4 separate regions of the Mus musculus genome follow, and all the other regions are reported to be linked to region 3. The links are microRNA targets in miRTarBase. Many come from high-throughput screens and were not tested one by one. Region 3 holds a microRNA gene; each other region holds the end of a gene's coding sequence.
What was found. Region 3 holds the annotated microRNA mmu-miR-101b-3p (GUACAGUACUGUGAUAGCU, at 2,950-2,968, opposite strand). A microRNA usually pairs through its seed, bases 2 to 8, with sites in the 3' UTR of a target mRNA and lowers its output. Matches are read on the target gene's strand: a 7mer-m8 pairs with bases 2 to 8, a 7mer-A1 pairs with bases 2 to 7 and ends in A, and an 8mer does both.

Region 1 (8,079 bases), not on the chromosome of region 3:
TGCTCTAGGTGCTGAAAATACTCTGGTAGGCTAAACCATGCCTAGTGTTTGCTCTACCAAGTGTACATGCTGTGTGTGGGGAAGGCAGGTGTTAATCAAAATCTCTCAGGAGTGAACTTGTAATTGCAAGCCGAGATAGACGCACCAAGAGGAAGTGGTAACACTGAGTGATGAGGTGGGATACAACCCAGCCTGCATGTGGAAGGCAGCATGCGGAGGCTGAGGCCGGTGAGAGGGCGCAATAAGCAAACCTTTGCTGTGCACGCCTTGTACCCTGAGTTAAATCCCTGGAATCCATGGAAAGATGGAAAGAAAGAAGCACTTCCACGAAGTTGCTTTCACACGCATGCTCACACATGCACACTACACTCTCCACACGATATATATATTTTTTTAAGGGAACACTTCCCCAAAGAAGTGGCATGTTGGGGGAGGGGCGTGCCTGCCCAGGTGCTCTGCCTTGCTTCTAACCCTTTTCTTCTCTCTTAGCCCTAAGTCCAAGGCCCGGCCATCCTCTCCCTCTACAACCTGGCACAGACCTGCCTCCCCCTGCCCCAGCCCAGGACCAGGACATGCCCTTCCTCCAAAACCACCATCCCCCCGAGGCACCACTGCATCACCCAAGGGGCGGGTTCGGAGGAAGGAGGAGGCAAAAGAGAGCCCCAGCCCGTCGGGGCCTGAGGACAAAAACCACCGCAAGAGTAGAGCCGCTGAGGAGAAGGAGCCAGCTGCCCCAGCCTCACCAGCGCCCTCACCGGTGCCCTCGCCCACCCCAGCCCAGCCTCAGAAGGAGCAATCCTCAACACAGATCCCTGCAGGTACACAGGAAGTGAGGGTGGGCAGGGCAGAGATGTGCCAGCTTTTCCTATGTCCGGGAAGTGGGCCAACAGACACTGGTCACAAGGGACAGGAAGAGGGACCTCCTCCCAGGTCTCCGACACCCGTAATGGCAACAATTGAATTGAATGCGTGCATAGCTGAAGTCCTGAAAGCATGGGGGCGCACAGGGCTGATGGAGGGGCCTGTACTGGTGTGTACTAACTCCTGGTCTTGGATCTTCCTCTAGAAACTGCTGTCCCGGCTGTCCCAGCTGCTCCGACTGCCCCTCCTACCGCTGCTCCCTCGGTGACCCCTAGCAAACCCATGGCGGGCACCACAGACCGAGAGGAAGCCACGCGGCTCCTGGCTGAAAAGCGGCGCCAGGCTCGGGAACAGAGGGAACGCGAAGAACAGGAGCGGAAGCTGCAGGCTGAAAGGGACAAGTGAGTGTGACCTCGGGGACTGTGAGGGTCCCTAGAGTGCCTGAAGAAGAGGCGCAGACCAAACTTGAGTTTCCTGGGTCCTCCAGGCGAATGCGAGAGGAGCAGCTGGCCCGGGAGGCTGAAGCCCGGGCTGAACGTGAGGCCGAGGCGCGGAGACGGGAGGAGCAGGAGGCTCGAGAGAAGGCGCAGGCTGAGCAGGAGGAGCAGGAGCGACTGCAGAAGCAGGTGCCCAGGCGGGCGGGCAGATCTTGGCTGGCAATCGGTGGGCTTGCCTGGGAGGGAAGGCTGAAACAGAGAATCCGAAACTTATGGAGGCCTTTGGCAGAAAGAGGAAGCCGAAGCCCGGTCCCGGGAAGAAGCTGAGCGCCAGCGCCAGGAGCGGGAAAAGCACTTTCAGAAGGAGGAACAGGAGAGACAAGAGCGAAGAAAGGTGTCCAGGGCAGATGGGACCTGGGGGCGGGGCCTTGCCGGGGCGGGGCCTGGCTCCAGCTCCAGTTCTTGGAAATTAATTGTACCTGTGAACCAGTGGGGCCCAGGCTTGGATTTGTAGAAGATCGGATAAGGAAGGACGGGTGTGGGTTGGGAGGGAACTGAGCTCTAGAATAGGGCCAGCAGGTGGGAAGTTGAGGACTAGGTCTGGGTTTGAGCCTAACTGATGTGGGGCCTCCTCCAACAGCGGCTGGAGGAGATAATGAAGAGGACTCGGAAATCAGAAGCCGCCGAAACCAAGGTCAGGATTCTCAGGTTGGGGAGCGGGAGTTGGGGTGAGGAAAGGAGGCTGCAGAGAAGCCTCCAGAGCCGAGGAAGGATACAGTGAGGGAGGCTCTTCTGTGTCTGGGCCAAAAGGGAATTCAGTTCCGAGGTCAACGGGACCACATAGCCCTGGCACCTGATAGCTCTTCCTTTTCAAACCAGAAGCAGGATGCAAAGGAGACCGCAGCTAACAATTCCGGCCCAGGTAAAGCCACCACGCATTTTCTTTGCCCTGGTCACCCCTGTGCTCCAGTTCCACCCTTCAACATCCCCTAACTGATGGCCATTTCTTTGCCGCCATAGACCCTGTGAAAGCTGTAGAGACTCGGCCCTCTGGGCTACAGAAGGATTCTATGCAGAAAGAGGAGCTGGCCCCCCAGGAGCCACAGTGGAGGTACCAGCTCCCAATCCCAGGGACTCCCAGGCCAGCAGCTGCAGGCTAGAGCTGTGGACTCCTCTGGGCTTCCCAGGGAGGTGAGGTGTTAACCCTGAACCCCTACATCCACAGCCTGCCAAGCAAGGAGATGCCAGGGTCCCTGGTAAATGGCCTGCAGCCTCTCCCAGCGCACCAGGAGAACGGCTTCTCCCCAAAGGGAACCGCTGGGGACAAGAGTCTGGGTCGCACAGCAGAGGGGCTCCTCCCATTTGCAGAGGCAGAAGCCTTCCTCAAGAAAGCAGTGGTGCAGCCTCCACAGGTCACAGGTGGGGACTCTAGGGACCCTGGTTCTGGCACCCAGCTGCATCCCACCCATCCCTGCCTGGGGCTCCCCGGGCCTAACCTTTATCCCTCTCCCTTCCCTTAGAAGTTCTTTAAGCAAATTGCCTTGGACCGAGGTGCAGCTGTGAAGGTTCCTCCATATCAGCTCGTGGGTGTCTGGAAGAGAAAGAGACAGAACAAAGATGGAAGTGGCCTGGTGGACCCCTGGGGGCAGAGTTCCTCTTTGTTTTTAATCCGCACCTTACAGACTGGTGATGTCTTTGGCTGAAAGCAGGACTGCCCCTCAGTACATCCGTGTGCTTACACGCTCGGACACCCATCTTCCCCATACACAACACACACACACACTCATAGCCTCTCTGGTCTTCCCCCTGGGGAAGGACCACTTGTAGTATTTGCCTTGGTTTGCTGGGGTACAGTGGATGTGAATACTGTAAATAGCTTGTGCTATGTGGAAGAGGCGGGTAGGGTACAGGAGGCAGAACCCCCCTCCCAAGTCTCCCTGGGCAGATCTTCCTCTATTTAACTGTAACCGAGGGGGAACCCAGGTCTGGGAATGGAGGGGCACCTCGGGCCACACAATACTGGTTGCTTCAGGGGTGATGCCCCCTGTCCTCGCCTGGAATCAGTGTTATTACATCTGATCAAACTTCTCCGGAAATAAAGGGAGAAAAATTCTGCCAAACCTACGTGTCCTTGGATCTGGGGGAGGGGGAGGGGGAAGAGAGGTACAAGTAGGTGACCTGAGCTCTGAGACCTTCAGGAGCCTGGGGCTGGAGGCTGCTACACCCTGATTGGTGTAGCAGTCCTGGCCTCCCTGTGCTATGGTTTTTTTAGTTTGGTTATGAATTCCTTCCTTTATTTCCTCAACAGATATTAATTGCTGTGCGTAACCTAGAAGTACAGAACTAGGGAAAGGCACAGCCTCTGTGCGTGTGGAGTTTCTACCCAGACAGCGAGCATCACAGAAGCTGGGCTTTCTGCTCAGCATCCCTCTGCCCCTTATTCCTGTTCACTACAACCCTGACCTCTCCAGGTACCCAAGTTCTTTCCCAGTACCAACTCACCTTAGCAAAGGTGGCACCTAGCCCACCTCTGGCCAGTGAATTATGACTTCGGTGACCCAAAAATGATGGCCCTGTGGGTCATGGATAGGCTTGCATGTGTGCATGTGACAGTTCCAGCCAGCAGGTGTGAAGAGAAGTCTCCCGAGAGTTTTGTAAAGGAACCCCATGTGACAGATAGGTTTGATGTGACCCTCCGGCATCCCCTGTCGTCACACTCTTGCAGTCTCCTCCCGAGCTGTAACTAGGTTGGCCGGAGTAGCCAATAGACTACAGCAGAAAGAATGGTGTTTCACTAAGCCAAGGCCTCTGTCTTGGTTGCCTTCCTGATCTTGAGTCACTCAGGCTGGGTAAAAATCAGAGTGCTTTTAAGAGACCTGTCTACCCAGACACTGAAGCCTCTGCCAGCAGTTATGAGACTCGGTCCAGCCTTCAGATGGCCTTAGGCCTGGCCCACAGTGTGACCCTCACCTCATGGACCACCTGCAGCTAGAAACAGCTAGAAAGTGAGGCAAACTTTAAATTGCTCTTGTGTGGTTATTTGCCACATGATAGCACCATGAGAGAAGCCCCGCTTCTGTGATGGAAATTCACATCGTGAAGCTGAAGGTTAGTTCACACCCCACTAAGCAGCCTGCAAACAAAGCCAAAGCAAAGATGGCAGCATTGAGAGCCTAAGTCTGCCAATGCTGGGAGTGTGTTTTTTCTCTTTCATTCATTCATTCATTCATTCATTCATTCATTTTTCAGTACTGGGGATTGGATCTGGGGCATCTTGCATGCACGTCAGGCAAGTCTTGTAACACTGAGCCGCAGTCCCAGAAATCTAAGTCTTTGAACACCAACCACCTAATTAACCAACCATAAAACCTAAAGCAGGCCTATTTCCGGCTGGTGAAGGTACTTACAGTACAAGTACAAGCTGCCGGAGGAGAGAACTGACTCTACAGAGTTACCCTCTGACCTCCATGTGCCCACACATACACCATGCACACAGTAATAAATTCAAAGCCAAAACATTTTAAAGCAAACCCACCTCCAAGCGATTTCCCTTACTGTCTAAGCCAATGAATGCAAACTGAATTTTCAGTGTGGTTCAAAGCTTCTAACTTGTCTGGGGACACATAAATATGTGAGTTTGCTTCCCTTTTGAGAAACTAAAAAGGAGTTGTGGGCCTGTTGGCCTGGCCTTTATCCTAGCACTTAGGAAGCTGGGGAAGGAGGCGTAAAAGGTCAGAGCTGGCATGGCCGCCTAGGGAGAAGTTCAAGCAGGAGTCAGCATGTGAGATGCTTTATGGGTGCCTGAAGGAGTGTTCCAGAGAGTAGCTACAGAGGGCTGGGGAGATGGGCAGGATGCAGGGTATAAGTCACAGGCATGGCACGGCTGGGGAGGCCAGGAAGGGGTTAGCCATTCTGGGCCACAATGGAAGTTCTTCACATGCCCTTCCCAGCCCCCCACTGGCGTCTCCCTGGAAGGCAGTGTCCTCTTGAGTACGCTTAGGAAAGCATTTATTCATTTGTTCAGTCAGTAAATTGTGGAGCAGCTGCTAAGTGCCAGAGGGATAAGGTGGTTAAGCAGAAACCAAGCCCAGAGGCTCTGAGCTTCCTGAAACGGCAGGAGGTGGACATTAATCAGACCACACAAACAAATATGAAAGTACAACGTGGGGTCAGTGCTGTGAGAGCTCGGAGCAGCAGGGTGTGCCCCAGGAGTCCAGCAGGTTAGCAAGCTAGGCCAGGTGGCTTTCACCTGGGGGGCTGGGTGTTGACTGGCAAGGTCAGCAAGGTGGAAAGGAGAAAGATGGCTCTCTAGGCAAGCAAAGGGCTGTGTGGGAAACAGCTACGTGCCTGTATCCATATGTGCATAAACATGATGGACGCGGTCTGGGGTTTTCCGATGAAAGCAGTACCCACTGCCCAGCAGAAGAGGCACTCTCTATTTGTTGAGTTAGACCCAATTCTTAAGAAGGAGCTTGCAGCCGGGCGTGGTGGCGCACGCCTTTAATCCCAGCACTCGGGAGGCAGAGGCAGGCGGATTTCTGAGTTCGAGGCCAGCCTGGTCTACAAAGTGAGTTCCAGGACAGCCAGGGCTACACAGAGAAACCCTGTCTCAAAAAAAAAAAAAAAAAAAAAAAAAAGGCGCTTGCTATGAGGGGAACCACATAGGTAAGGCCTTGGAAAGCTATGCTTACAAACTTAGGTTTTTATTCTCAGGACTCAGGAACCACTGAAGGCTGTTAAGTAGGGATGGTGACATAAGATTAGAGATTCATTAGAATACTCTTGGACTTCTGGGGGGAAACTGCTCAATAGGGGTTGATTATACACCAGGAGGCAAGAAGGGGTCACCAAGGTTCAGACAAAAAAAAATGTCACAGACCTGACCTGGATGAAAAGAAAATGGGTGGGGGCTGGAGAAATGGCTCAGCAGTTAAGAGCACTGACTGCTCTTCAGAAGGTCCTGAGTTCAAATCCCAGCAACCACATGATGGCTCATTACCATCTGTACAGCCTACAGTGTGTGTGTGTTAAATAAATAAATCTTAAAAAAAAAAAAGGAGAAGAAGAGAAAGTGGGTAACCAATATAGTCAATTGTTGAAGGAACAAGTTATTGGACCAGTGTGCTTTAATTCTAGCACTCAGAGGCAGAGCAGGTGGACCTCTGAATTCAAGACTAGCCTGGTCTACAGAGGGAGTCCGGCCAACTACAGCTACACAGTAAAACCATGTCTGGGGAAAAAAATTAAAAAAAACTCAAAGCAACTGGGCAGTGGTGGCACACATCTTTAGTCGGGATGGAGAGACAGGTTGATCTCTATGCATCCAAGGCCAGCCTGGTCTACAAATTGGGTTCCAGGACAGCCAAGGCACAGAGAAACCCTGTCTGGAAAAACCAAACCAAATAAACCAGATACACTGAGCTGGGGAGATGGTGCTGTTGGCAAAGTACCCATCTTGCAAACATTTAAGTTTGGACCCCACCATTTTGTCTACCCAGCCACCTCACCTGCCCCGGAGATTGTTTTTAAGTGGGCAAAACTTGATGTAGTCCTTAATAGAGGTCCATTAATAACTAAGCAGTATTTCAAACAAATACATAATTACAGCCTTGATAGCCCTGAAGCAGCTAAGTGTGTGGCATTAGAAAAACGAGTAAGAGATCTGACCCCAGTCATGGAGATGAAGCAGGGCATCCCTGAGAAAGGAGCTGGAGCTGAGATCCCCAAGAGTTCCTAGTGCAAAGGTTTGGGGTTTCAGGTAGAGGCAACTCTACAAAGGCCTGTAGTGAATGGGGCCGGGGTAGATGAACCATAGAAAATGAGGGGGGTTGGGTCTCACAGAGATAGGAAGGGCCAGCTCATTCAGGAACCCTGCCACCGAGGAATCTAATGTTTATTGCAAGCACACTGGAAGCACCGTGGGGTGGTTCATACCCGTGATCCCACAATCCCAGCACTAGTCATTCAGGCAGAAGAATTGCGAACTTGAGACCAGCTCTGACTATTCAGTGAGACTCTGTTTAAAGAACCAAAAAAGTAATAAACAAAACCCCAGGAGGTGGGGACAGCAAGATGACTCATCAGTGAACCCAGGAACCCCTCTAAAAGTACAGGGAAAGAATAGACTCTACAAAGTTGCAACTGACTTCCCCATGTGTGTCTCCCCACCCCCAACGCACACACAAATAACAATAACTTATTTAATAAAAGGAGCGGTAAGGGAGCTACTGGGACAGGTTCATCAGGTAGGGGATGTAACCAGGTTATCACGACTGTCACCTGGAAAAGGTATTGAAGGAAGAGTGGCAGTGGAACTTGCTGTAGAAATGGGTCCTAGTGACGAGATGCTGGGGACTTGGCTCACTGCGTGGTGGAAACCAAGAGATGGACAGAGTACACAGAAAAGCTCATTGGTCATGGGAAATGGAAAAAGGATCAACGACAACGACAATTCCAAACCTTCTAGGTCCAATCCAATCCCACAGACACTGGTATTCGTGTACAAGGAACGGTGGAAAGGACTTAAGGAGACCCACAGAAGTGTCACACAGAGAACTGTACAGAACTTGAGCTCAGGAGATGGGTTTAACCCATAGCCAGGGAGAGTGGGCAGCGCAGCGGTACATCTTAGAGGCATCTGCGGCAGAAGCCCGAGGGTGGCTCCCCTGGCACAGTGGGCCTTTTCCGGGAAGTCCTGGGGCAAAGGCTGCTTCCAATGAACTGGCTGGACCTGAAAGGAGGCTGGCTCAAGGTCTGATTTCCTGGTTTCCTTGCCAGAAAA
Region 2 (8,079 bases), not on the chromosome of region 3:
ACTCTCCAGGCAGACACGGGAGCTCCCTCCCCTGAGACCTGGGTTCTATCCCTACTTCTGAGTGACCTTGGTCATGTCCCTTGACCTCTCTGAACCTCTTTTGAAAAATAGGGATATTCCTTGTTTGACTAACAGGTGTCTCTACAGAGAGCACTAACACGAGGCTGGTGAAGAGAAGGTTAGCTTGAAATGATAGGATTGCAGGCAGGCTGGGGAGATGCCTCAGCAGGGAGAGTGCGTGTTATGCCTGCCCGCCATGCCCTCCATGCCTGCTTGCCATGCCCGCCCGCCAAGAGCCCGAGTTCAAATCCCAAGCACACATGTAAAAAAGCCAAGCATGGGATCATGTGCCTGTCAGAACACAGAGCTGTATGGGAGGAGACAGGAAGATCGTTGGGGTTTGATGGTGGTTAGCCGACCTCCAGGGTCAATGAGAGTCTGTGTCTCAAGAGAATAAGGCAGAGCCCTAGAGCAAGGATTCTCTGGCCTCTGTATGCACACTTACATGAGTGCAAACATCATATACATATGTGCATGCGTGTACGCACATTTTCTCTCTCTCTCTCTCTCTCTCTCTCTCTCTCTCACACACACACAGAGAGAGAGAGAGAGAGAGAGAGACAGAGACAGAGACAGAGAGAGAGAACCAGAATGTTCTAATTGCTCCAAATCAGGGTCTGCCCCAAGCCAAAGCCAGAGCACCTCCGACCACTCAGATCCTGCCACAAGGTCACCTTTGGTGGGCGCAGCCTTGCCAGCAAGCAGCTTTGCTCGACCCAGTTCTTTGTTCTTTCAAGCAGCCTCCACCCTGGCGGAAGACCTTAGCAGTCCTCCCTAGGAGGCATCCACACATCACTGCCTGGGCCACCTTACCATCCTTGTCCAGGTCCTTATCCCCATCGGTGTGCCCAGGATCTCAAATAAATCTCATGTGTGACCTAAGTCTTTGTCTTTGGGTCTCCCACCTCCCACCTCCTGGAGACCCCAGTTACCATGTCCGGATATGAAGAGAAGTAAATTAGCCGGAAGGACCTTAGTGTGGGGCTGAGAATCTATTGAGTGTTTTTCCTGGCCTCTTGAGTCTATTTCCAACCGTTTTGGAGAGGGGATCTGGTCACCCCCACTTTTCTAGCTGAATGGAGGCTCAAGGCGACGAGTTCCGTGCCATATTGGCTCTCCGTACACACGCGTTGGTTTTTGTTTGTTTTGTTTTGCCCTGCAGCTGCAAGCCATATCTTATAGAAGTGAGGGTAGGGTGGTGGAGGGATTTAATGAAGGGGTGCTCTCCCAGGATGCTAGGGAGCAGACTGGGGCGGGAGTCGGGGAGACCCCGCAGGCTGCAGCACTGACGACTCCACTTCCGTTCTAGATCCGGAAGTACCCCAGCTTCAAGCGTTTTTTTAACGAGTTCTCGGATGCCTCCCTCAGGAAGCTGGTGGCTACCTTAGAGAGACAGAAGGCCAGCCTCTCAGAGGAAGGCCGGAGCCTCGCTAACAGGCCGCCACCCTGTGCCTTTGGCACACTGAACAAGTTTGCGGCCACCCGCAGCTGCACCATCTGCACCCTGATGCAGTCCAGAGGCGAATACAAGGGACACAGTTACGCCCACTTCCTGTCCAGGAAGGCCGAGCAGGTGAGAGCGGGGGTAAGGACGGGTCAGCATAGCCACAGGTCTTCTGACTTTCCTGATACGTGTGCACGGGTGTGTGAGTGTCACGGCGCACGGGTGGAGATCAGAAACAACTCCTGGGAGTTGGTTCTAGGGATGGATGGAAGTCAGCTTGCCAGTCTTACTGGCAAAGACCTTTACCGACTGAGCCATCTATTTGACCCCCCACATCTGATTTTTAGGCTTCAGTTCAAATGCCATCCTCCCCCCTTGCTGCAGTCTTCTGGGACACAAAGACAAGAGCTAAGCTGTAGTCAGCTTCAAAGGACAGGCAACTGAGCCCGGTGTTGCGAGTTGGTCCCAAGGGCCTGCAGGAAGTGGCAGATGCAATTTGAATGATCAGGGCTTTGGAGACTGAGGCTGAAGAACTGAGGACAGCTGTGCCCGATGAAGGGGGAGAGGAGCTGCAAAGTCTAGGGGACCTATCGTGGGTGTGGATTGGCTCGGTAGGGAGCTTGCGGCAGGGTGGGGAGCTTGCTGTCTCTGGCCCTGCTGAGTCTGCCTGTGGCTTTTCCCCTCCCAGGACATCACGAATCTGGATAGCCAGAGTCCGGACTGAAGGCCACATCTCATACACAAGTTCTTTCTGAGTAGCCAATAGTCAGCAGCTTTGGCCCGGAGACCCGGAAGACCCCCATAGGATGGCCCACTTTTGTGATTCCCTGCAGGCAAGAATGGACCATGGACAATTCTCTGTGCGCTCAGCATTGTCTGGGAACACTTTCTTCCGGGAAGTGGGACCCAGAAGCTGTGCTGGGGTCGGCACTGGAATGGGGTTAGGAGGTCAGGCTTCATCGAGTGAACCTGGAGGCTCTCCCCTCTGCATCCCATCCCCCCACCCTCAACTCCCTCATCCCTCATGACTGACATCTGCCAAATCCATGAGTCTTAGCTGGTGTGTGTGTATATATGTCTGCTTATCTGCCTGCCTGCCTGCCCGCCTGTCTGTCTCTGTGTGTCACTGGGTGGAGGGAGGTAGTGTAGGTCAGAGGTCAATCCCCGGTATCCCGCCTCCAGTTCGATCTGCCTTGTTTTTTGAGACTCACCCAAGCAGGTTTGTCTGAGGTTGAGAGTCCAAGGGATCTGCCTGGTTCAGCGCTGACATCACCCAAACTTAGGCCACCACACCCCACCATAAATGAGTCTTCATTTTGAAAAATAGTTTTTAAATTCAGTTTCCAGCTGGAAAACACACATGCATTCAAATAGCTGTAGCTGTGTCTCTGCCACGTCACTCCCGATCTCCCGGGATTAAAGGCATGTGCCACCACCGCCCAGTTAATTATTTTATCGTATTGAGAAAGGTCTCACTCTGTGGCCCAGGTGAGCATCTCTCTACCCCAACCCCACCCTAGTCTCTTGAGTACTGAGACTACAGCTGTGTGCCACCACACCTGGGCTACTTTACATGGTCACAGCTGGGTAGATTTCAGAAAGTCGAAGAGGGCTTCAAGCTGGACTGCCCCAGATGCTGCACAGATGTGCACTGCCCCAAAGCCTCTTGCCCTAAGACATGCAGCCTTCATCCTGTCTGTGCTGGATGGTTGTGTGTCAACTTGACACAAGCTGGAGTTATCACAGAGAAAGGAGCCTCTGTTGAGGAAATGCCTCCATGAGATCCAGCTGTAAGGCATTTTCTCAACTAGTGATCAAGGGGGGAGGGCCCAGCCCAGTGTGGGTGGGGCCATCCTTGGGCTGGTGGTCCTGGGTTCTACAAGAAGGTAGGCTGAGCAAGCCACGGGGAGCAAGCCAGTAAGTAGCCCCGCTCTGTGGTGTCTGCTTCAGCTCCTGCCTCCAGGTTCCTGCCCTGTGTGAGTTCCTGTCCTGACTTCCTTTGGTGATGAACCTCGATTTGGAAGTGTAAGCAGGTTAAACCCTTTCCTCTCAATTTACATTTTGGTCACAGTGTTGGGTTAGAAACCCTGACTAAGACACCATTATCACTGATGGCTGGGACGTGTTTGGCCCTCTTGTGGATGTGTCTATCTGCACAATTGTGAGATGTGGCCAGTGACATAGATACGCATATTCGTCACACGTCCATACCCACACACAGGAGCTGGGGCCATTGACTCCCTGGGCTATTGGCAGGAAAGTGTGACCATGGGGGAGGGTATCAAAGCCTGGGTGGCAGAGTGAGTCTCGTAAGCCTTGGAGACTATTGGTGGCCACAGCAGGCTCATGGCACCTGGGCTGAATGGCTTCATTCATGGCAGCTGAATGGAGGTAGGAAGGCCTGGCTCTCAGGTGGAGGCAGTCTCAAGCGAAGGCATCCTTTCAGGAAGTTCAACTAAAATCCTCCCTTTATTTATTTATTTTTAATTCCATCAAGGTGTCTCTTACTGGCACTTGATCTCCTTATAGATTTATTTTAGGTAGTATTCTTGGGTGTGGCATGGACGTGCAAGAGCCAAAGCTTTGAGTGACTTTTCAAAAGATGGTGTTGTGTGCATTGGTGGGTTATTTTTGTTTGTTTGTTTGTTTGTTTGTTTTTGCCTGCGTGTGTATCTGTGTGTGGGTGTCAGACTCCTGGAATTGGAGTTACAAGAAATTACTGTAATGTGGATGCTGGGAATTGAACCTGGGGCCTCTGGAAGAGCAGTCAATGCCCTCTTATCCACTGAGCCATCTCTCCAGCCCCGGGAACTAAATTTTTGAAACAAGGGTCAGGAGCCTTTTGTACATAGTTTATTTTATTATTAGCAAATCAGTCTTCTACATAGTTCAGGTTAGTTACCACACCCAACTGTACATAGTTTCTTTTATTTATATATAAATTATGTTTTCATTTTAAATTATGTGGGTTGGTATGAGTGCAGTATCCACGGAAGCCAGAAGAGGGTGCTGTATCTCATGGCGCTGGATGGTTGTAAGCTGCCTGCTGGGAACAGGGCTTGTTTTACCACTGAGTGCTCGCTCCAAACCTTGGACATTGTCTCTTATCTGTAAGAACGACTATCCAGGCTGTAGAATATTTGTTATGAGTTCCCGATGCTGGCATCCAAGTCTGGTTTTTATACTGTGTTGTTTGAACCAATAAAGACACTGACTCAAAGTGTGAACCGGATCTTTTCAGGGAAGCTAGGTCATCTTGCTCCACCCAGTGGAGACAAAATGGCTGCCCCCGTGTTCCATCTAGAAGAGACCAGATGGCCGCCACCAGCCCCCATCCAGGACAGTCCGAGCTAGTGGGGCCAGCCTCCCTGTCCCTGTCCTGGGTTCTCTCTGGCTCAACTTTAGAGTGACACCATGCTGACACAGTAATAAAAGGGGTGCTAGGTTGGGTGGTCATGAGCTCAGGGCTTCCCATCCGATCCCAGGCGGGTAATGTCAGAAATGAGATATTGCTGTCCTAACCTGACTCCTGAGGCAGAGAGAGGCTGGGTCAGCCATCGTTCTTTTTGATTACTTGATGAAGCTGGTGTGACTTAGCACAGGTGTGGAGAAAGGGTTTGAGGCCGCTCTCTGCTATGTGTCTGAATGGGAAAAGGACGGCATGGTTGAGGGGACGTTTACTGTAGATATGAATGACAGAGAAGCCAGAGGCATCTGGGAGAGTCCAGACTGCACATGGCTAGCAGACTGACGCAGACCATGAGATGGCGGTGGGAATCCATAGAGGAAGGAGGGGCTGTGGACCAAAAGAGAGGCCACATAGCCAAAATGGCTGGTTATATATACAGGAATGGGAGAATCTGGGGTAAGGGGAAGAAAGCTCTGGCGTTGGAGAGAATGCGGGTAGGGGGGCGGGGCATGCCAGGCAGGACGAGTCTGTAACAGGCACTTGTGAGTATGGACTGAGCCAGAGTCTGCCTTGGTGTGTTAAATAGGCACCTCAGCCATTTGTCCCGGGTTTCTCTGAGACCTCACAATATCCAGTTTGAATTCAGCCTGGGTTGTAAGGGTTCAGCATGTGGGAAGCTACATACGCCATTACAAGATGGCGCTGGCTACCGCTGGCCACCGCCCATAAGTTCGGGTAAACAACCAATGTGCGCATGTGCATAAGGGTTTTGCGCCACGTCACAGCCCATCCTGGGGAATGTAAATGAGACACTGAAACACAACCAATCAAGTATAGGCCACTCCTAGGCCTATACAAGCAGCGCCAGTTCTGGGCTGGGGACTTTTGCCTTCTCTATCAAGCTCTCCCAATAAACGTGTGCAGAATAATCCTGTTGTGGCGTCTTCCTTGCTGGTGAGTCGGGCGTCCACAAGTGGTGCGGAAACCCGGGAACGAAACATCTTCAGGCATGAGCAAAGACCCCCTGTTACAGGGAGGATTCAGAACTGCATCACGGGGAAGGAGTAACGTACGTCTTTGAGAGGTGTGCTTCCCTTTGGAGTAGATCCTTTAACAGTTGCTTGTCTCATTCTAGTCATCTTTATAGTAGTCCTGATTCTGTGCTATTGCCTTAATTGCCATCGTCCAGGGCATGAGTGTGTTTGCTGGGAAGGGAAACTGAAACCAGGCATTTCTGCTTTGAAAACTAATTAGGGCTTGTATACAGGATAAGAAGTGTGAAAAAGAGGGACAAAGACTGTTACAGGAACATCAGGAAAGTATGTCAGAAACAGAGAAAGATGTGAGAGCAGGAGTGCGCAGAAAACAAAAACTAGAAAAGGAAAAGAAGAGTCAAAAGGATAAAGAAAAAAAGGAGACCAAAAAGGGGGGTGGAACGGAGATCAAGCCCATCATTAACTGATCTAGAACAGCTTGAACTTTCGAGCTCAGAAGATTCTGAACTAGCTACAGAGGAGGAGGAGGAGCTAGAAGAGGTTGCTGCAGCTTATGAGTCGGAACGGTATGGCCCGATAGAGTCAGCTCCCAGTGTCCCTCCACCTTCTCCACCTTATTCTAAGAAAACAGGAAGTGATACTGGAAGCAGCCACTCCTTTGGTACTCCAGCAGTACGAAGGAAGTTGAGACAGATGTTTCCGGTGTTTGAGGACCAAAATCAGGGTAGATATTATGAACCCTTGGGGCACAAACAAGTAAAAGATTTAGCAGAGTCGGTGAGGACCTATGGAGTCAATGCATCTTTCACCCAATCTCAGGTAGAAAGGCTCGCTCACACTGCTATGACACCCAATGATTGGATGAGTGTTGTTAAAGCATGCTTAACTATGGGACAATATCTAGATTGGAAATCTATCTGGCATAATGTTAGCGCTAATCAGGCCTGTGCCAATGCAGCAACAGGGCAACTGGCATGGAGTTTCGAAATGCTTACAGGACAAGGACAATGGGCAAATAATCAAGTAGGTTATCCAGTGCAGGTCTATGAAAAATTAATAATACAGCTATAAAGGCATGGAAAGGTCTGCCTAATAGGGGGGAAGTATCAGGAAATTTGACAAAAGTAATTCAAGAAATGAATGAGCCATTTTCAGATTTTGTAGCCCGTATGATGGAGGCAGCCAGAAGAATATTTGGTGATTCTGAAGCAGCTATGCCATTGATAGAACAACTAGTTTATGAGCAATGCACAAAGGAGTGTAGGAATACAATAACACCTTGGAAGGGAAAGGGCCTGCAGATGTGGGTGAAGGCATGCAGAGAGATAGGAGGGCCATTGTCTAATTCAGGTCTAGCCGGAGCTGTATTATCGGCTCAGAGATCAAAAGGAATAACTTGCTACAGTTGTGGACAGACAGGACATATACAAAGACAATGCCCTAGGGATAGAAGGAGTAAACCTGAAAAGAAGGTGCCAGGCATCTGCCCAAAGTGTGGTAAAGGAAAGCATTGGGCTAATGAGTGTAGATCGGTCAAGGACATAAAAGGGAGACTGATACTTCAAAATAATATGCAACAGTCAAAAAACGAGACAGGGGGCCCGCGTCCCCAGGGCCCACAAATGTATGGGGCGTTCCAGACCACAGTGTCTATGAGGCCACCCAAAGACCGAGGAGAACCACTCCGGGTTCAGCAGGATTGGACATCTGTGTCACCTCCAGAGTAATTCTTACACCCCAAATGAGATGCTGGAAGGAAAGGAAAAAAGAAAAGGGTGTGGGAAGCCGTTGCAGAGTGGCAGTTACAGAGTGGCAGTTGCAGAGTGGCAGTTGGCTACTGCTGGCCACCACACATACATAGGCAGTAAAGGTTCTTTTGCCAAGATGAGAGAGAAGTTAACCAATAAGATGTAGGCATGCAAATGAGGTGATTAGCATAACCCAAGCACAACCAATCCGGGTGTGAGTCACGCCTCTCCTAGGCCTATATAAGCAGCACCAGTTCTGGGCTTCGGGTCACTTCGCCTCTGCAATCAAGCTCTCCCAATAAACGTGTGCAGAAGGATCCTGTTGCAGCGTCGTTCTTCCTGGCCAGTCGGGTGCTCGCAAGAAAAGGGAAAGGAAAAGAAAGGACAAGTTAAGGTTCACGGTTTTGGGACAAATTGCACCAA
Region 3 (8,079 bases):
TGTCCAGGACTCATGAACTCATGGATCTTGGAGAACCTACAACCAGCATAATCCCTAACTACACTCTAAATAGTTGCTCTTATACCACAGCTAAGTGTGGTCCTCACGCATCAAGGAAACTTCTCTTTGCAACAGATAGAGATCATCACAGAAAACTACAGCCAATCAAAATGCAGAGGTGTAGAGCCCAGCCCCAACAGATAAATATGCCTATAATTCCCATACCTAAGGCTCAAAGAACATTTTGGAAGGTGGTGGGGGTGGGATGATTTTTAAGTGAAAAAGAATCAGTGAGTTTGCTGTGAGATTGTGACTCGAATGTTGGAGGCTACATCCATATGTTTCACCAACATGACACCTAAACATGAGCTGGACAGGCATAGTGACAGACATGCTAAACTGGAAGCAGGTGGGAAGTCCACGAGGCCTGAACACTATACAAATAACCAGAGGCAGCTAAGGACTGCTAGGAAGAGCAGGGGAGACAGCTTCTTCCAGGGAAGGGCACATCAAATGGTTACCAATGGTCAACCCCTGAAAATATTCATACAAGCTGCATTGATGTATTACAGAACATGTATGTATGTATGTATGTATGTATGTATGTATGTATGTAAGTAACAACAATCATTAAAAAAAGAGAGCCTATGAATTTGAAAGAGAGCAAGGCAGGATATATGAAGAGTTTGGAATGAGGAAAGGGTAAGGGGAAATGATGCAATTCTATTATAATCTGAAAAAAAGATTATCTGGGGATTGAGGCTATCTAGCTCAGTAGTAGAGCACTCGGTTGGCTAAGCAACACATAAGGGCCTGGATTTGATTGCTAGCACCAAACAGAAAAAAAAAAAAACAAAACCAAAAATCAAACAATATTGTCCTGCTCACGGCAGATACAGTGCATGCCTGCTGTTAAACAAACACTACCTACACCGCTCTGCGGAAGTATAGGTGGGAGCGTACAGTTGTTAAGGAATGTGGCTGGAAGCTGGTCGTACATTTTACAAGCACTGCACACAGATGCACACCAGCCAGTGTGCAGCAGGCCTCGGGCCTGAGATCACTCTGTGGAAGTTCACCTTCTGGAGCTCAAAGAGACACGATGGGGGATGGGCTGGGATGAGGTGAGGGGCCACAAGGCAGGATGTGAGTTCCTCAGATATAGTGCCTTGAATGCTGCTAAGCACCTCACCATCCATGTCATCAACAAAGACTCACAAATGCTCAACTCAGCCTCCCCTGGTGGCACTGCAGCATCGACAGAGCGTAAGTACTGACAGGTTGGACACCAAGGCCTATGCACAGGCAGAAAGCGAAGCTTGGAACACTAATCTGTCAGGATTTCTGAGCATTCTAAGGGCCTGATGATAGATATATATTATATGTGTAATATATATATTGTGTATCTCGATACATAAAGATATTTGATACATCTCTCTATATACTAATATATATAATAATGTATGATATATTTTTTTATGTTACTTCAACTTGTAAATAAAATAATTCCTCACTACAATGTAAAATTAAGCTTCCAGGGTTAAAACTGTAAGCCAACAATACTCAAATTTAAAACAAAGAGAGGTTCTCTTCTTGTGTCTATGGCATCCAATATTATTTATTCAACTGAGAAAAATTGTCTGGTCTCAAAAAGGTCACACATATAGACTTATTTCCTCAACTAGTACAGAGGAGCCGAAGCAGCAACCTCCTATAGCAACAGGGAGAGAAAACTTCTTAATCCTGGCACTCCAGAAAAATGGTACCCGAGATGCCATTCACACAAAGCAAACTCATGCCAACTGCCAGAGGCATGCACATGCCTTCTTCACACCAAGAATATTCTTGCTTTCCTCAAGGAAAGTGAGGTCCAAAAATCTGTGTCTCTATGACGTGAATAGCACAAGAATATGCACATGATACTCCCCCTGCCCCATCCTGGTGCCTGTCCCATTCGCAGATAAGATGTCAATTGTACCTGTCAGGGCCTATGCTCACCCTCCATCTTCTGAGATACTGGAGCCTTCCACAAGATTAAGGGCAAAGGGGTCCCCATCACAGACTTTGCTGAACACAATTCCCATCTGTGCTTGCTTGGGGCAGGCGGGGTGTGTGTGGCAGAGGAGGTGGGGTACACTAAGCCCTGGGGCAAGGAGCATGTGTCCAAGCCTCAGACCCAAATCTCAAGGCACAGAATAGTCCCATCTGGACTACTTTTAAAGCTCCACTCGGAGCAGACTACAGTCTCCCAGGAGACGCGGTAATCTTAGGTTTCTGGATGAAGAAAGGAAACCAAAAGGATTATGTGGTGAAGGACAGTCGCATTCCAAAAGGCTACAGACATTAAAAGATTATTCAAGGCCCCAGAGTTGGAAGTGAAAGACTCTCTAAAACTAACTTAAAAAAAAAAAAAAGATAAAAACATATATTCCATGGTCACATGCTGTTCTGCCGAGGCCCAAACTCTGGGCCACACACATTTGGAGACAGTGGTTTTTACAGACTCCAGGAGAGCCATGGATCCTCTGCTGCCCCAGAGCAGAAGCTGGACACAGCACTGACCACAAAAAAGCCAACCTGGCCCAAGATGGTCACTCACCACCAGTTGCTTCCAGGAACTGATGGGATCCCGCACCTAGGGAGCTGTGCTTGCTGCCACCTCCCCCCAGAACGCTCCAGTGACAATCTGTTTGAGCAGTGTGGACTTCTGCAGGTGGCCTGCCATTAGGATTGCTCAAGTCTAGGTTTCCTGTCCTGTGAAACCCTTTACAGAGCTTATCAGGAGGTAACGTGTGGCTCTTGGGGTCCTTCCTGCTTATCAGTGTCCCCTGCTGCTAAGAGAGTATATTCCCTTTCATCTTCTGTTCCAAAAACCTCCCACTGCCAACTCTAAAAAGTAAAAGAATCCTTCAGGCGCCTCCCCTCAACGTGATGGCACCGCCATTCTTCAGCTATCACAGTACTGTACCTTTCAGAGCTACAGCATCGGTACCATGATAACCGAAAAAGGGCAGTTCAGTCTCAGATCTACCTGCCCCTCCCACTTACCACCCCTCGCTGACCAAACAGCTAGCTTAAGTCTGTGAGCGTGTAAGTGTGTATACATGAGTACACGCTCATACATGCACACCCCCACACTCCAACACTCACGCATACACGTGAGCCTGTTTCCAAACCTGCTCATTTATCCCTGACTAGAAACTCCTCTTGAGCTTGGCGCTCTGTAATTCAAGTTTCCAACTAGCTACTGTTCTTGGAGTGTGCATGTTTTTATATCCTAGATGTTAGTATCCAGCTGCCCAAACGCATCTCTGTAACTCCCAACTGGTCTAATAGCATCCCTAGGAATTTTGCCTCTCTTTGGCTCTTCTAGCCAGCTAATACGGAATGCTATTAGAAAATAACCATTGACCACAAATAAGAAAGGCAGCGGGTGAACGGGGTGTAAAGTGAATAAATAAAAGTTTTTAAAAGGAAAAAGGATGCCAGCAGGAAAATGAGGATGGAGAAGCTTCCAGCTCCATGTTTGTCTCCAGGATAGAAACAAATCACAAAGCAGAGCCACGAGAGCCACCCAGCGTGCCTGAGAGCTCAGAGAACATGGGGACAGCAGGTGTACTGGGAAGAAGGCAAGGCCCGAACCCACGTGTGAAGAAAACCATCAGGTTAATAGTGGCCACTGCTGGCTGGTTAGAGATCAGTACAAGCAGGGACAATGCTGTGGTCACAGGCTACACACGGCACATCCGGGTCACTCTGTACAAACAGAACACATGAGCGAGGACAAAGGGAAACAGCTTACGTGTAGGGTGAGAGTGGTCCCAGCAGGACTTTGGAAACGTCCTGCTGTCCAAGGGTCATGAGCAGCAGAACTAGACTTTGGTTGGTCGAGTCTACGCATCCACCCTGTAAACACAAACACGCTGATGATTAATCATAGTACAAACCAGAAAGGGTAACAAACACGCAGGGAGAGAGGAGGACACAAGCCCTCAGAACACCAGACCCTCAGACAGTGAACTGAAGGTCAAGCAGCGACAGACAGAACATGGCCTCCCGAGGAAGATTCATCTACAACCATCGAGACTAAACTAACAGCTAACCCGAGTAACAGCTGAAAGTCACGTTCCCAAGATCTACTGGGGAAAACAGTGAGCCCTCCCTTCCAAATTGGGGCATTTCCTTCGCTCTAGGAGAGGTACAGTTGCTCCCGAGCAGACGACCTATAAGGATCTGGTGAGGCTCCGAGCAGTGGGGCACACACAGAGAGTGAGTAGCTCTTACAGGTCTCCCTGCACTCAGCCCATCTTGCTCTGAAACAACTCCAGATGTTCCTAAGTGCGTCTTACCTCTTCCCATGCGACCTAACACCACAAAGTGCCACAGTCAGACTGCTTGTTCTTATTACAAAGACATTATCCCACCCCAAGTTTTCTTTCCTTCTTTTTTGTCTTCCAAGCATAAGCAAAACAGTTTTCTTCAAAATTTTCCTCCTGAAGCACAACTGTTTCGTTTGCTTCCTTTTTTCATTCTTTATTTCCAACCATGTCTTTAAAGAAGAGGCCTTTATTCCTCATTATTCTTTCTAGGGTAACAATGTCAACACATATACAACTTTACAGAGTACAAGTAGGATGTCATAAAGTTTTTACCCATCTTACATATCTGAAAACTTAAGTTTGTGAGCATGGCTCACTGCTGTCCAAGGCTAGACTCTGAGTATAACAGGCAGTCAGCTGAAGATGCTTACAGGGGACCTCCTTCCTTTTCAAAGGCACCCAGGGCAGGGAGTAAAGCGATCCGCAGCTGTAAACACCCTCAGGCTGTCACTCTTGATTTAGTAAGCCTTTATGAAAATCTATCCCTCTAAAGTTAGTAAACAACAAGAAACATTTTTTTCATTTTATTCATCAAACTTTAGGATAAAAGCTGCTTTTCCATACAAACAGGAAATCTGACCAACCAAACCAATTGTCTCACAGCTCTTGTTTATTTTTCCTACAGTCCTAAAAGTAAGCTGTTGTCCTCTCCTGCTCCCTGCACCGAGCCACTACTGCACCGTCCTCAGATGACTTGTACTAGGTACTGGAGGGACATTTTAATGCAGTAAATATGTCACGGTCCATGTACAGGACATGGTGGAGGGAGCGGGGGCTACAAGTGGTGGCACAGCTGAGGCCGGCTTTGGGAGCAGGCTCTTGAAGTGGCTGAGGGGCCTTGGAAAGAAGACAGGAGCAGTGGAGGGGTACGGCTCACAGGCACTGGGAAAGCGCCAGGCTCTATTCTATATTCTATAGAGGGTGAGGAGCCAGTGCAGGGCTCTGCAAATGGGCAGAAGGAGACTGAGTCCAGGTATGGAAGGAAATGAGAGGGAGGTTGAAGAGGATGTGCAAAGAATCTCCCGCTGAAGACAAGAGCGGCTCCCACTCGAGTGTGAGGTGAGGAGAGGTGGAAAGACAGCAGGACAGAACCCCTGGTACATGGTAACCCATGAGCAGAAACTGGTACACGGAAACCCCTGAGCAGAAGGAACTGGGTCAGAGACTCACTCTCTCTCTCTCTATATATATATATGAGGGTCTTATGCTTCCATGTCACACCACAGACCTACAGAGAATTAGTCAAAATAGCATGAAGTGTTTCAGCCTTTTAGTAATTAAGGACTAGACACTAACAGGAAGTTTTCTTAATGACTAAAACAAAGCAAACTTGCTTGAGGAACAATAATAGTTTTTAAAAGACCTCAATTAATCTAACACAGGTTTTCCTCCCGTGACTGGTGGGAAACCCAAATGCCAGCTGTGCCCATGGGCTCCTGCTGAACTCCTCTGGGTCATGGTGTCTGCCGTTCTCCCATGGTCTCCTAGAAAGGGACGTAAGTGTCCCCATAGTTGGAGAGAGGACACAGCAGCCCACAAGGTCAGGTGGAGACCTACACAAGCCAACGAGAATCTCAGAGGCAGACAGTTACCACTGTACCCTTCTACCTGACAACACAGAGATGGGAAATGTTATAAAACTCTATGAATTAAGTAACTGGTGAATCAATGGCTTTATCCTTCTACCCACAGACGTCTAACTACCACCTATCTCTCAAAACCAGCGCTAGATCTGTCATTAAAAATAAACTGATGTGGCACCAAAAACCCTGCACCAGACCTGGGCTACACAAGATTACTGACAGGCCGTGTCCTAAAGGAGGTCTCACTCCCTGGCTCCACTGCTCCTAGCAGCAAGCACAATGGCTACGCCTTGCTCTTCAGCTGTATCAGGAGGGGCTCCTATCTTTAATTAGGTAGAATGATGACGTTCATCACATGACTAGTGCGCAGGGTTCAAGGCCGGCTTGGATCAGCTTGGACAGGGGAGCAGACTACAATTGTAAGCAGTCTTCAACTGTGCAGGAACTGTATCCATAATGGGCTCGCTTAGGAACACACTTTCCTCTTGCCAGCATCTTCTCTTCCCTCACGATCTCCTCCTTCCTGTCAGACACCTCAGCCGTGGGAAAGTCAAGTGTGTGCTCACTTTTGTGCCTGCTGCACATGTGATCAACAGTTTGTAGCCATGAAGAAGTCAGGTCACCTGCCTGACCTGCATCCTACCCACACAACCACAGACACACGTAGTAACTGGCTAAAGTCTATCTTTAACAATGCCAAGTTCTCACACTTCCCAGAGCCTCCACCACGCTGTGACAGTCTGGCCTTCCCCAAACAGTCTTCAATGCCCTAGAATAAACGGCACAACTCTATCCACACACAAATCCAGATTTCTACCTTGATAAATCTGAAGGTGAGTCCCTATCTCCACAGAGCAGCAGCTGGGGCAGCTGAGAGGCTGTAGTCCTGGGACTAAAGAAATGGCTTGGAGTTAAGCCCACTTGCTGCTCACGAAGAGCACTCAGATTCACCACAGCACTCACAGACTGGCTCGTAGCCACGTACTGCAGGGGATCTGACAACCTCTTCTGGCCTTCCCAGGCACCAAGTATGTATGTGGTGCACATATATTCATGCAGGCAAACACACAGAAAAATCAAAACAGATGGGGAGAGGTGTGTGTGTGTGTGTGTGTGTGTGTGTGTGTGTATGTGTGTGTGTGAGAGAGAGAGAGTGAGAGAGAGGGAGGGAGGGAGGGACAGAGACAGACAGAGGCAGATGAAAGAGGGGTGGTGGTAGAAGTGGGGGACACTCCTTTTGGTCAGGCCAGTGCGCCAGCCATCATCTTAGCCTTCCCTGGTTGCTTTATTTTGAACCCTCACTCCCTCCTCTCCTCCGTCCCCATGAAAAGCTATATCTTCTGTGTCCCAGTAGAGCAGACTTGTTCATGGACTAGTTCAATGAACCCATTCAACTAGTTAATTCTAAACTGCTTGATACTCGAACACAGGCGAGCTCTTTAGCTCAAGTGCCCAGAAAGGAGTACAGAAGGAAAGACATCCGATCGTCTTTTCCTGACTGTTCCTTTCTCTGCGCCTGCAGAGCCAGGGGACATACCCTGTAGATCTCTTCAAGTAGCAGCTTTGCACAGTTCCTGCCGAGGTCCTCGGGAAGCACTGCTGCTCCCTGGCCCTGGGGATTGGAGGCCAGTTCCGCACTCAGGAAGGTACCGTTGGTAGTCTCTGCAACCAGCGACAGCCCAAAGCCTGGAGACCTAGAGATGCAAGGGCGGACACCCAGTAAGCAAAGGCACACACGGGGCACACAGCGAAGACAGATGTGTTCTTCATTAGAGGAGTAGACTCCGAGGAACACTAAGAAGAACCAAGGCGAGAGGAAGTTTGCATGCCCTTGCTTCCTCCCTCTCTGCACTTTACAAAGACTCTCACAGTACCTAACAATCACAGAATATGATGTCAACAGGCTTCCAGGTATCCGAGCATGCAAATAACATCAACGTTAGCTCAGTCTTGTCTTCATTTACAAATGAGCACATGCTGGGAGAAGAGGCTGAACACGCTCAGCCCACTCAGCTGAAATGTGGCAAAGTACATTTGAAATGCAGGCCTTACACATTCCAGAGTCTACGGAAGCTCTCCAGTTCCCATTCAACCCTAAACTACAGCCAGGTCAGAAC
Region 4 (8,079 bases), not on the chromosome of region 3:
AAGCTTCCTGTGAGAATCCACAGCAGAGCCTGAAAGTAGCACCTGTCACTTCTTACAAGTAAATTAGCAGGCTGATGTTAACAATGGGGCACACTGAGGGAATTGAAAACTCCTTAAGTTTATCCACATAGCTGTGCTACACAAAGCCAAGATCGATTTATGGAGACCACGCTTTTTCAACGCGCCACCGCATGTCTTACTGGCTAGTTATTTGTTGAGGTAAACTGATAAGTTATTTCTCCACTGGTAAAATGAGCCAATTCAAGCCAGATTAAAATATATACAACTGCAGGTTTATTAAGAAGCTGCTCTCGGGCAGGTGAGTTCACTGGCCCCAAGGAAGGAGGCCAGAAAAGGGAGAGAAGAGGAAGAGAAAGAGAGCCCTCAGGCTAAGACAAGGGGGCAGGGGAGATGGGGAGGGAGAAAACAAAATGGATTATATAGCAAAGATCCTCTGGGGGAAGGGAGTCCAGGCCCTGTGCTGAAAATTCAGGATTGGGGGCCAGTTATACTAGGGACTGAGGGATGCTGGGAGAACCAGGAGGCCAGGTCTGCTTTGGTATGTAAAATATACACCTAAGTTGTTTGTTCCTGGGTCTGAAACCAAACAGAAACATGGTAGGATTCTGAGATACCATTAGTAATACTCCCCTCCCCACCTCCCACCCCCATCCCCATCCCCACCCCCCCCACACACACATACATTACCAAAAGGACTACTAACTTCTTTCTCTCCAAAATGTCAAATAGTCCCTGAAGGGACACTCTTACCCAACGCTGGCATTAAAATCACTGATGCTGGCCCCAGCGATGGCTTACTGCTCTTGTAGAGGACCTGGGTTCAGGTCCAACACTCAACAGAGAGACTCAAAACATCTGTGACTCCAGTTACAGGGGAACTGCTGCCCTCTTCTGACACCCACAGATACCAAGTGTCAAAGGCCCTTCCGTACCCAGAACTCGTACATATTGCCATTTTTCACAAAAGTAAACATTGGTGCTGGCTGTTAAAACGCCACAGTGATAGAGCAGCTACGTGGATTTGAGGTAATGATGCAAACTCTAATGGTAGTGATAGAGTCCTCTGTCACGCCGTTACAGTGAAACTCTGGAACACAAGTTTCTCCTGAGATGAGACCTAGCTATGTCACCTAGCAAGAGTCCCAATTTCCAGACTCACTTTAATAAGCCAAGTATCACTGCTTCGTCAAGGGCATTTCTAAACGATGGCATTCATATTTCTATGATACCAAGTGCTTTTACTGCTACGGAAGTGTGATGCCTCTCAAAAGCGAGTGAAGATTCCACCATGAGGGCTGGACAGAGAGTCCAGAAGTTAAGTGCACTGGCTCCTGCTCTTCCAGAGGACCAAAGTTCAGTTCCCAACACCAGCATCTGGCAGCTCACAGCCTCTGTGTAATTACAGCTCTGGGAGTTTCCAACCCCACGTTCTGGCCTCTGCAAGTGGCTGCACATACATAAGAATCAAATCAATTATTTTCTCTCTCTCTCTCTCTCTCTCTCTCTCTGTGAGTACACTGTAGCTGTCTTCAGACACACCAGAAAAGAGCATCAGATCCCTTTACAAATGGCTGTATGCTACCAAGTGGTTGCTGGGAATTGAACTCAGGGCCTCCGGAAGAGCAGTCAGTGCCATCTCTCCAGACCCAATAAACCCAGTTCTTTAAGGCTATTATAAAGTTCCACTATCTTGTGGAACACAACTGTTTTTTGTTTTTTTTTTTTAACCGCTGACAAACTGATTATATTCATATTTAGGTCTTTGACCTTTTCTTGAAATGAATAAAGCAAGGGGCTTGTGAAATGGCTCAGCAAGTAAGGATGCTTGCTGCTCAGCCTTGTGACATGAGTTATGTCTGCAGAGCGTACTCGTTGGAAAGACAGTTGTCATCTGGGCTCCGTACATGTGCTATGACATGCAAACACACATACACACACAAATTTTCTCACTTAAAAAGTTGACAATGTCTGTTCCAATGACAAAACTGTACTCCTTATATAATAATCTTGACAGCTTCCCAGTGTGTCTAGACTTTGAGATCAATGGTAACTTCAGATACAATTTTTATTTATAATTTGATTATATTCATTAATGTTGTCAAGTAAGTTGGTATATTCACTATAACCAATGTATTACTGTGGTAGTCAGCCTATAAAAGAACTTCAGTGTTTCCTGCTCTTGGTGCTCACAGCTCTGTGAAGGTCTTTCCATGTCAGAGTTGGCCTGTGGCACCTCACGCTCATATTAATCGTAATAGACAGTCTGGTGGATGCACTGTTCCTCAGTCTGGATGGAGGTTCACGTGGTCACATTCCCAACAACTCAGTCCATCCTTACATGTTTGTACTTTAGTGTCTATATCTATCTCCATCCATCCCTAATAAGATGGTTGGCGCAGGACCTGTATCTTGCTGTCCTGGTGACATCTGTCATGAATGGTTCACAGTGGCCATATGGATGAATACACAGTGCTTGAGGCTCTGTTCCTCTTCCCAGTCTCTCAGGGTAGCTTAACCATGATGCCCTCAACTCTAGTAAAGACTTGGCCATGTCTTCCAAGTCAGTGAACAGCCTCTAAATATTTGGCACCATTGATTGGCATTTACAACAACCCGAAGCTTACTCATTCAGAACAGGACAGTTTAATGGATGCAAGTTTCCACATGCCAGTTTCTTGTGTAAACTTGTAATGAAGATCTAGAAAAATTAGCTCTCCAAAAGAACTTCACATGCTGTTCATAACATCTAAAATGAAGCTTTTCTGATTTAGAAAGCTAGCAATCCTGCAAAAGCCTCAAGAACGCTGAGTTTCTAGATTGAATAGTAACTGAATTCTAGCAAGGATGGAATTCAAGGCCTGTGTTTGTGATTGGTCTGTGACAGCTGCTTCAGCATTTACTGTCTGCATCGTAATATTTCAGTACCTGAACGAGCCCCGATACTCAACGATGAACAAGTGCACCCCACCCCAAACCTTGATGAAATAAGAAATACTGTGTAACAAATGAAAAACGAACTTTTTTCTTTATTATGCCATCTTTCTAAATCAGGTTACTCTGGGCAAACATACATAAGCCACAATGGTGGACTCCTCCCAACAACGGCTTACAGTCAGGCTGTGTGTGGCATTCCATTCATCATGTCAGAGCCCACAATGAACAGGCAGAGGGAGGAGTTAAGGAGAAGAATTTATGGTTTTCTTTCCCAAGATGCCCCTTGGGGTACATATCTTTACACACCCAGCCACATGAGTTTATTTGTGAATGGTATCAAAGATCCAAAGGATGGGGCAAGGTAGGGAGAGAATTCATATAAAATTATCTAAAACTCCCAAACACTATAAAAGCATCTTAAGAAAAAAATAGAATCAAAGTAAAAGCAATGGTGTTTATTTCAGTGAAATTATTTTAAATTAGATATATTAAGCTCTTGCGTCTCCCGACTTGGTAGAAAAGTTCCTTTCATGAGAAATCAACTTTAATGGCAAAATTTTTACATATCAGCAAAATCTGTTATATTTAAAACTATGTATACAGTACTTTTCTGTCAAAAACATCACACAGCTTTCAGTTGTCAAGACAAAGTAAAAATATGGTTGCATAAAATCACAAGAAAATATAAATTGCTGAAAAGATAATAAAAAAAAGATTAAAAATCATTTGCATTGACTCCCTTTACATTTTCAGTGTAAGAATTTGCAAACTACAATACATTTGTGAAAATCCTGTCCTGGGCTTGACATACTTAACTGAAAGTTGTCATTTCAGATATCCTAGCTTTTAAAAAATTTGACTGCAATAGTCTGCATTTATCATACTATTTATACAAGTGCAATATTTTAATGTCTTCAAAATAAAACTCGGTAACTAAAAGGAATCACAGAATAACTTATAAAAGAAGCAAAGATTACAAAATTAACAAATTTTAGAAGGTCCTATTTAGTTGGCTCCTCCTTTTGTGCCCCGTCCCCCCAACAGTTTATAGAGATATTCCTCAGTTTTATTTACAAATCTATAACTTTACAAATGCAGCCTTCTGTTCTACACAGCGGGAATACAGCGCTGCATTCAGACAGCATACGTGACATCAGGGAGCCCCACACAGAGGGCACAAACACACAGGTATAAATACAGTCAGGAACTCAGGTAAATGGAGTCTCCATTACTTTATACAGCATTCAATTCGGAGTTGAATAAAACAAGCCCCGAACAAAAAGAAGCATCATTTTTGTCCGGAAATCAGTGCATAAACTATAGCGTCATCTTTTATGCAAGCTATCATGTCCTCCAAATGCGTTCTTACATAAGTGCTGGACAGGTTTGGGGATGGGGCAAAATATTTTTAAATGAATGCAGTGGGGGGAAAAGTCTCTCTTACAAAGGGGGGATGGTTAATGTTTAAAGAAAATGCATTTTGTTTCACGTTGCTGGAGATGACCCAGCCTCACCACTGGGCTAGAGCCTCTGACCAATTTCCTAAACTTAAAGGAAACCAAATATGGCCAATATGACATTAATTATTAGCTCACACAATACCGGCTTTGTCTAGCGTGACTTAAATCTTCACTTACACCCATTATGCTATGCTACCACTAAAAGGAGAGAGGCATATAAATCAGAGATTGAAGAAAAATCACACTTCTTTAGCCACTCATTATTTTGAATTAAAACCTGAAATAAACTTGGCCAGTTTGAAGAAAGGATTTCTTCTACATCTTTTCAAAATAGTGTTATTAACCTGATTAAAGAACTGCAAATAAAATCAGGCTGTAACTTAAATGGAATTCTGGGCAGTTACAGCTAATCTGGAAAACCAGGCACTATCTGGAAATTATTGATTTTATAATGGTTTCAGAAGGTTTCTAAAGGACATTATTATTATTTTTAGGAAGTGCTGAAGTATTCAGGGCTGGTATATATATATATATATATATACCTTAACATCTCAGTGGTTCAGAATAAAAGCAAACATATACTCGAATATATGTGCATATCTGTATATTATACATGTGTGGATCTAGAGAGCAAATATGGCCAAACAGTAGTTGTAGGAGCTAAGTAGTAAATACACATGCAGTCACTAAATTCTTGCAACTTTTCTTTCTTTAAAAATTGTCCAGAATAAAATCAGGGGCTAAAACCCCAATCCTAGCATTCAGAGCGTATAAACACTGTCCTTTCTATGCACTGGATTGGCTTAGAAAATACCAAAGACATTCAACACTGGCTGACATGATAGCGTCTCTGTGCACTGACAGAAGCAACACGATTCACTACAGTGTGAGCAACTCGGCTCTTGGATCCAAAGCAGCACTTCATATATAAAAGGGCAAACCTGAAAAAGTAAATTCAGGGCTTGGAGGGTCTGAACATATAAATTCTGGGGCTTTGGGGGCTCACAAGCCAAAGAAAAATGTTAAATCCAGACTGCTCTCTGAAATGACTTACTACACAAAAATAGCATGTTAAGAGGAATATGGAAATAGTTCACAATGTAACCAAAAATGGAAACTAGTAGCTATTTTGGAAGTTAAGGAGCCCAGAAAACAGCATTATCTAATAAGGTCTATGAGGATTCCAGGCAACTCAATAAATTCATGAAGCTAATATAAAATACATCAACATGTACTAATATGTGAAGGCTTTATGGTAAATTTATGGTCGACTGAGACCTGTTACAGCAAATTCAAATGGCCAAAAGTCAAGTAAGCTTGAGACCTACAGTCCATTGTGTGTGTGTTACGCTGTGTGTACCTACTGAATACGGGATAACAGAGTGATCCTCATTCAATTCTGCACATCAGGCTTTTAACGATCAATCGTTTTCCAGTCCCTGTGCAAACTGCATTCCAAAAGGCCAATCCTCAGTTATATACACACATATATATAACTTGGTAAGTGGAAGTATTTGGCTATTATTTATTATGCATGCTTATTGCATCAAAGAAATAAGCAAAATTTTAGGTTTACTGTGCAAGAATTTTAATTAGATTTGCACACATTTCAAAAAATTCTATTGTATGACTTCCTGGTCTTGGAGCTACGTCGACAGGGGAGGAGTCGAGGGAGGTGACAGATGAGGTAAGGGAGACGTCTGAGGGCTTTCCTTGAGCTTCGGCATCAGAGTCACTCCTTTGGCAAGATCGATAGTTGCTGATGGATCCCGATCTCTGTGGAGTAGCAGTCCCTGATTTGGCTTCTGTAATCTCATCTGGGTGGAAAGAATTTCAATGTTTTATTATCTATTTCTCCCTCAAGTGTTTAAGCAGCACCTAAGTGAGACTACTAACCAGTTCTCCAAAGCACACTGGTTTTATTTACATTCTCAAATAGAGCAAGCGTGCCTTTGTAAAGCACCTTACCACTTCTACACACAGCACAAAAAATACATACAATGGCCAGTCAACATGGGATACATAGTATAGCACTCTTGACTTTCACACCAACTAAGAAACAGTAAACTAATAACCTGTAAATTAATATCACTGCTAGGAGATATTTATTAAAACCACAGACTCACTGGGTAGTGGCAAGCACACCTTTAGTCCCATCAATTAGGAGGCAAAGACAACTCTGGGAGTTTGAGGCCAGCCTGGTCTACAGAATGAGTTCCAGGACAGCCAGAGCTACACAGAAACCCTGTCTCAAAAACAAAACAAAACAAAAAATACAGAATCGATCACTTGCAGTATGAAAGGTATCTTGGAACTTGTCTCACCTAGGAACCATTTTACAGATATAAAAAGCCAGAAGTTGAGGGACTTGTCCAAGGCACCAAAGGGACAGTTCCCACCTCTCAAGAGCTCGACCCTCCCCACCTCAGATCAGCGCTCTTACCCTGCAGCTTCTCAAACATCACTTAGAGCATAAGCAAAACAAACAAACAAAAACCCTGTATATTTTTAAAGATTTTACAGAACAATAGTCAGGTGATGGTGATTGAAGCCAGTGAAGCAAGAACTTCAATACTGACCTAAATCCCTAGCCCCAATAATCTATAAATCAATATGCTACATGGAGCAAGAATAACAGGTTTCACAAACGTCAGTCTTGCAGAACATAGGAAGTCATGTTTCCTATGAATTAGCAGGAAAAGGCCAGGAAGCTTCCTAAGACATAGCTGAGGTGGAGGGCAGTGAGGAGGATGCCAAGGACGCAGGACATGTATGGCAGCGTGCACTGGGGGGCTGGGGAGAAGGCTCAGTAGATAAGGAGGCCCTGCCGCTGATCCCCAGACCCATGTCAAAGCCAGGCCAGCGAGGGCACGCCCATTACGCCAAAGCTGGAAGTCGGAAATTAAATGATCCCTGGAGCTTGCTGGCCCGTGAGTGTACCCTGAAGGGCAACCACCCGTGTGCAAAGAGACCTTGTCTCCAAAGCAAGATGGAAGGTGAAGGAGGACGGTACCTGACATTGACTTCTGCAGCCTGTCCCATGTGTTCTGAGACACATGCAGAGGGAGGGAGGGAGGGAGGGAGGGAGGGAGGGAGGGAGGGAGGGAGGGAGGGAGGGAGGGAGGGAGGGAGGATAGAAAAGCTAGAGAGAGAGAAGGGAGGAAGGCGCCATATGAAGCTTACTACTTTGCATGCTTAGTTTTTATTCAAAAAAGAAAGAAAGAAAACAAAGACTATAAAGCAAATGAGGTAAGCAGGCTATATAACTACATGACCTCCAGGGTTCTGCGTGTACATACCATCAATACTACGGAAATCCAACAAGTAAGTCCTACTATCCACTTGGTATAGCTGTAGACTCATTTTGGAAAATGTGCTTGTCACAGGATTCTTCCTTCGTACACGCAAATAATAGGGGTTTACAACCTAGCATTGGATATGGACAAAAACAAAGGCACATCATCACATCAGTTCTCCTACAAAGGGCTTTGGCTACAGGCTCACCAAACAGAGAGAGCACTTGCCTTCTTACCTTCCATTCATAATCCAACTGCTTGATTGCTCTACAAACTTCTGCCATGATATCATTGGGTCGGCTTTGACTTCGAATTCCCAAATGCCATTTTGCCTTCCGTACACCTTGGTGTTTGGATTTCTGTGGGTT

Region 1: the mRNA of Map7d1 is a reported target of mmu-miR-101b-3p. Seed matches in the 3' UTR shown: 8mer at 3,163-3,170 and 7mer-A1 at 3,259-3,265.
Region 2: the mRNA of Bnip5 is a reported target of mmu-miR-101b-3p. Seed matches in the 3' UTR shown: 8mer at 4,222-4,229.
Region 4: the mRNA of Prkaa1 is a reported target of mmu-miR-101b-3p. Seed matches in the 3' UTR shown: 7mer-m8 at 3,554-3,560 and 7mer-A1 at 3,128-3,134.

Annotation. Positions count from the first base shown.
Region 1 is chr4:126,227,506-126,235,584 of GRCm38, reverse strand. It overlaps Map7d1 (MAP7 domain containing 1), which reads left to right. Exons shown (of 18, transcript NM_001347198.1): 10 at 490-818; 11 at 1,067-1,262; 12 at 1,349-1,487; 13 at 1,588-1,692; 14 at 1,939-1,992; 15 at 2,178-2,220; 16 at 2,319-2,409; 17 at 2,524-2,717; 18 at 2,819-3,418. The coding sequence ends at 2,829. Among named protein-coding and RNA genes, the nearest start is that of Map7d1, 25 kb to the left of the region's middle.
Region 2 is chr17:28,893,037-28,901,115 of GRCm38, reverse strand. It overlaps Bnip5 (BCL2 interacting protein 5), which reads left to right. Exons shown (of 12, transcript NM_172450.3): 11 at 1,370-1,633; 12 at 2,193-4,721. The coding sequence ends at 2,228. Among named protein-coding and RNA genes, the nearest start is that of 1700030A11Rik, 8.2 kb to the left of the region's middle.
Region 3 is chr19:29,130,227-29,138,305 of GRCm38, reverse strand. Mir101b (microRNA 101b) reads right to left here and starts at 3,027; the gene lies at 2,931-3,027. Rcl1 (RNA terminal phosphate cyclase-like 1) reads right to left here. Exons shown (of 9, transcript NM_021525.2): 7 at 7,500-7,656; 8 at 3,803-3,906.
Region 4 is chr15:5,176,841-5,184,919 of GRCm38, reverse strand. It overlaps Prkaa1 (protein kinase, AMP-activated, alpha 1 catalytic subunit), which reads right to left. Exons shown (of 9, transcript NM_001013367.3): 7 at 7,948-8,079; 8 at 7,715-7,841; 9 at 3,021-6,232. The coding sequence ends at 5,988. Among named protein-coding and RNA genes, the nearest start is that of Ttc33, 4.7 kb to the left of the region's middle.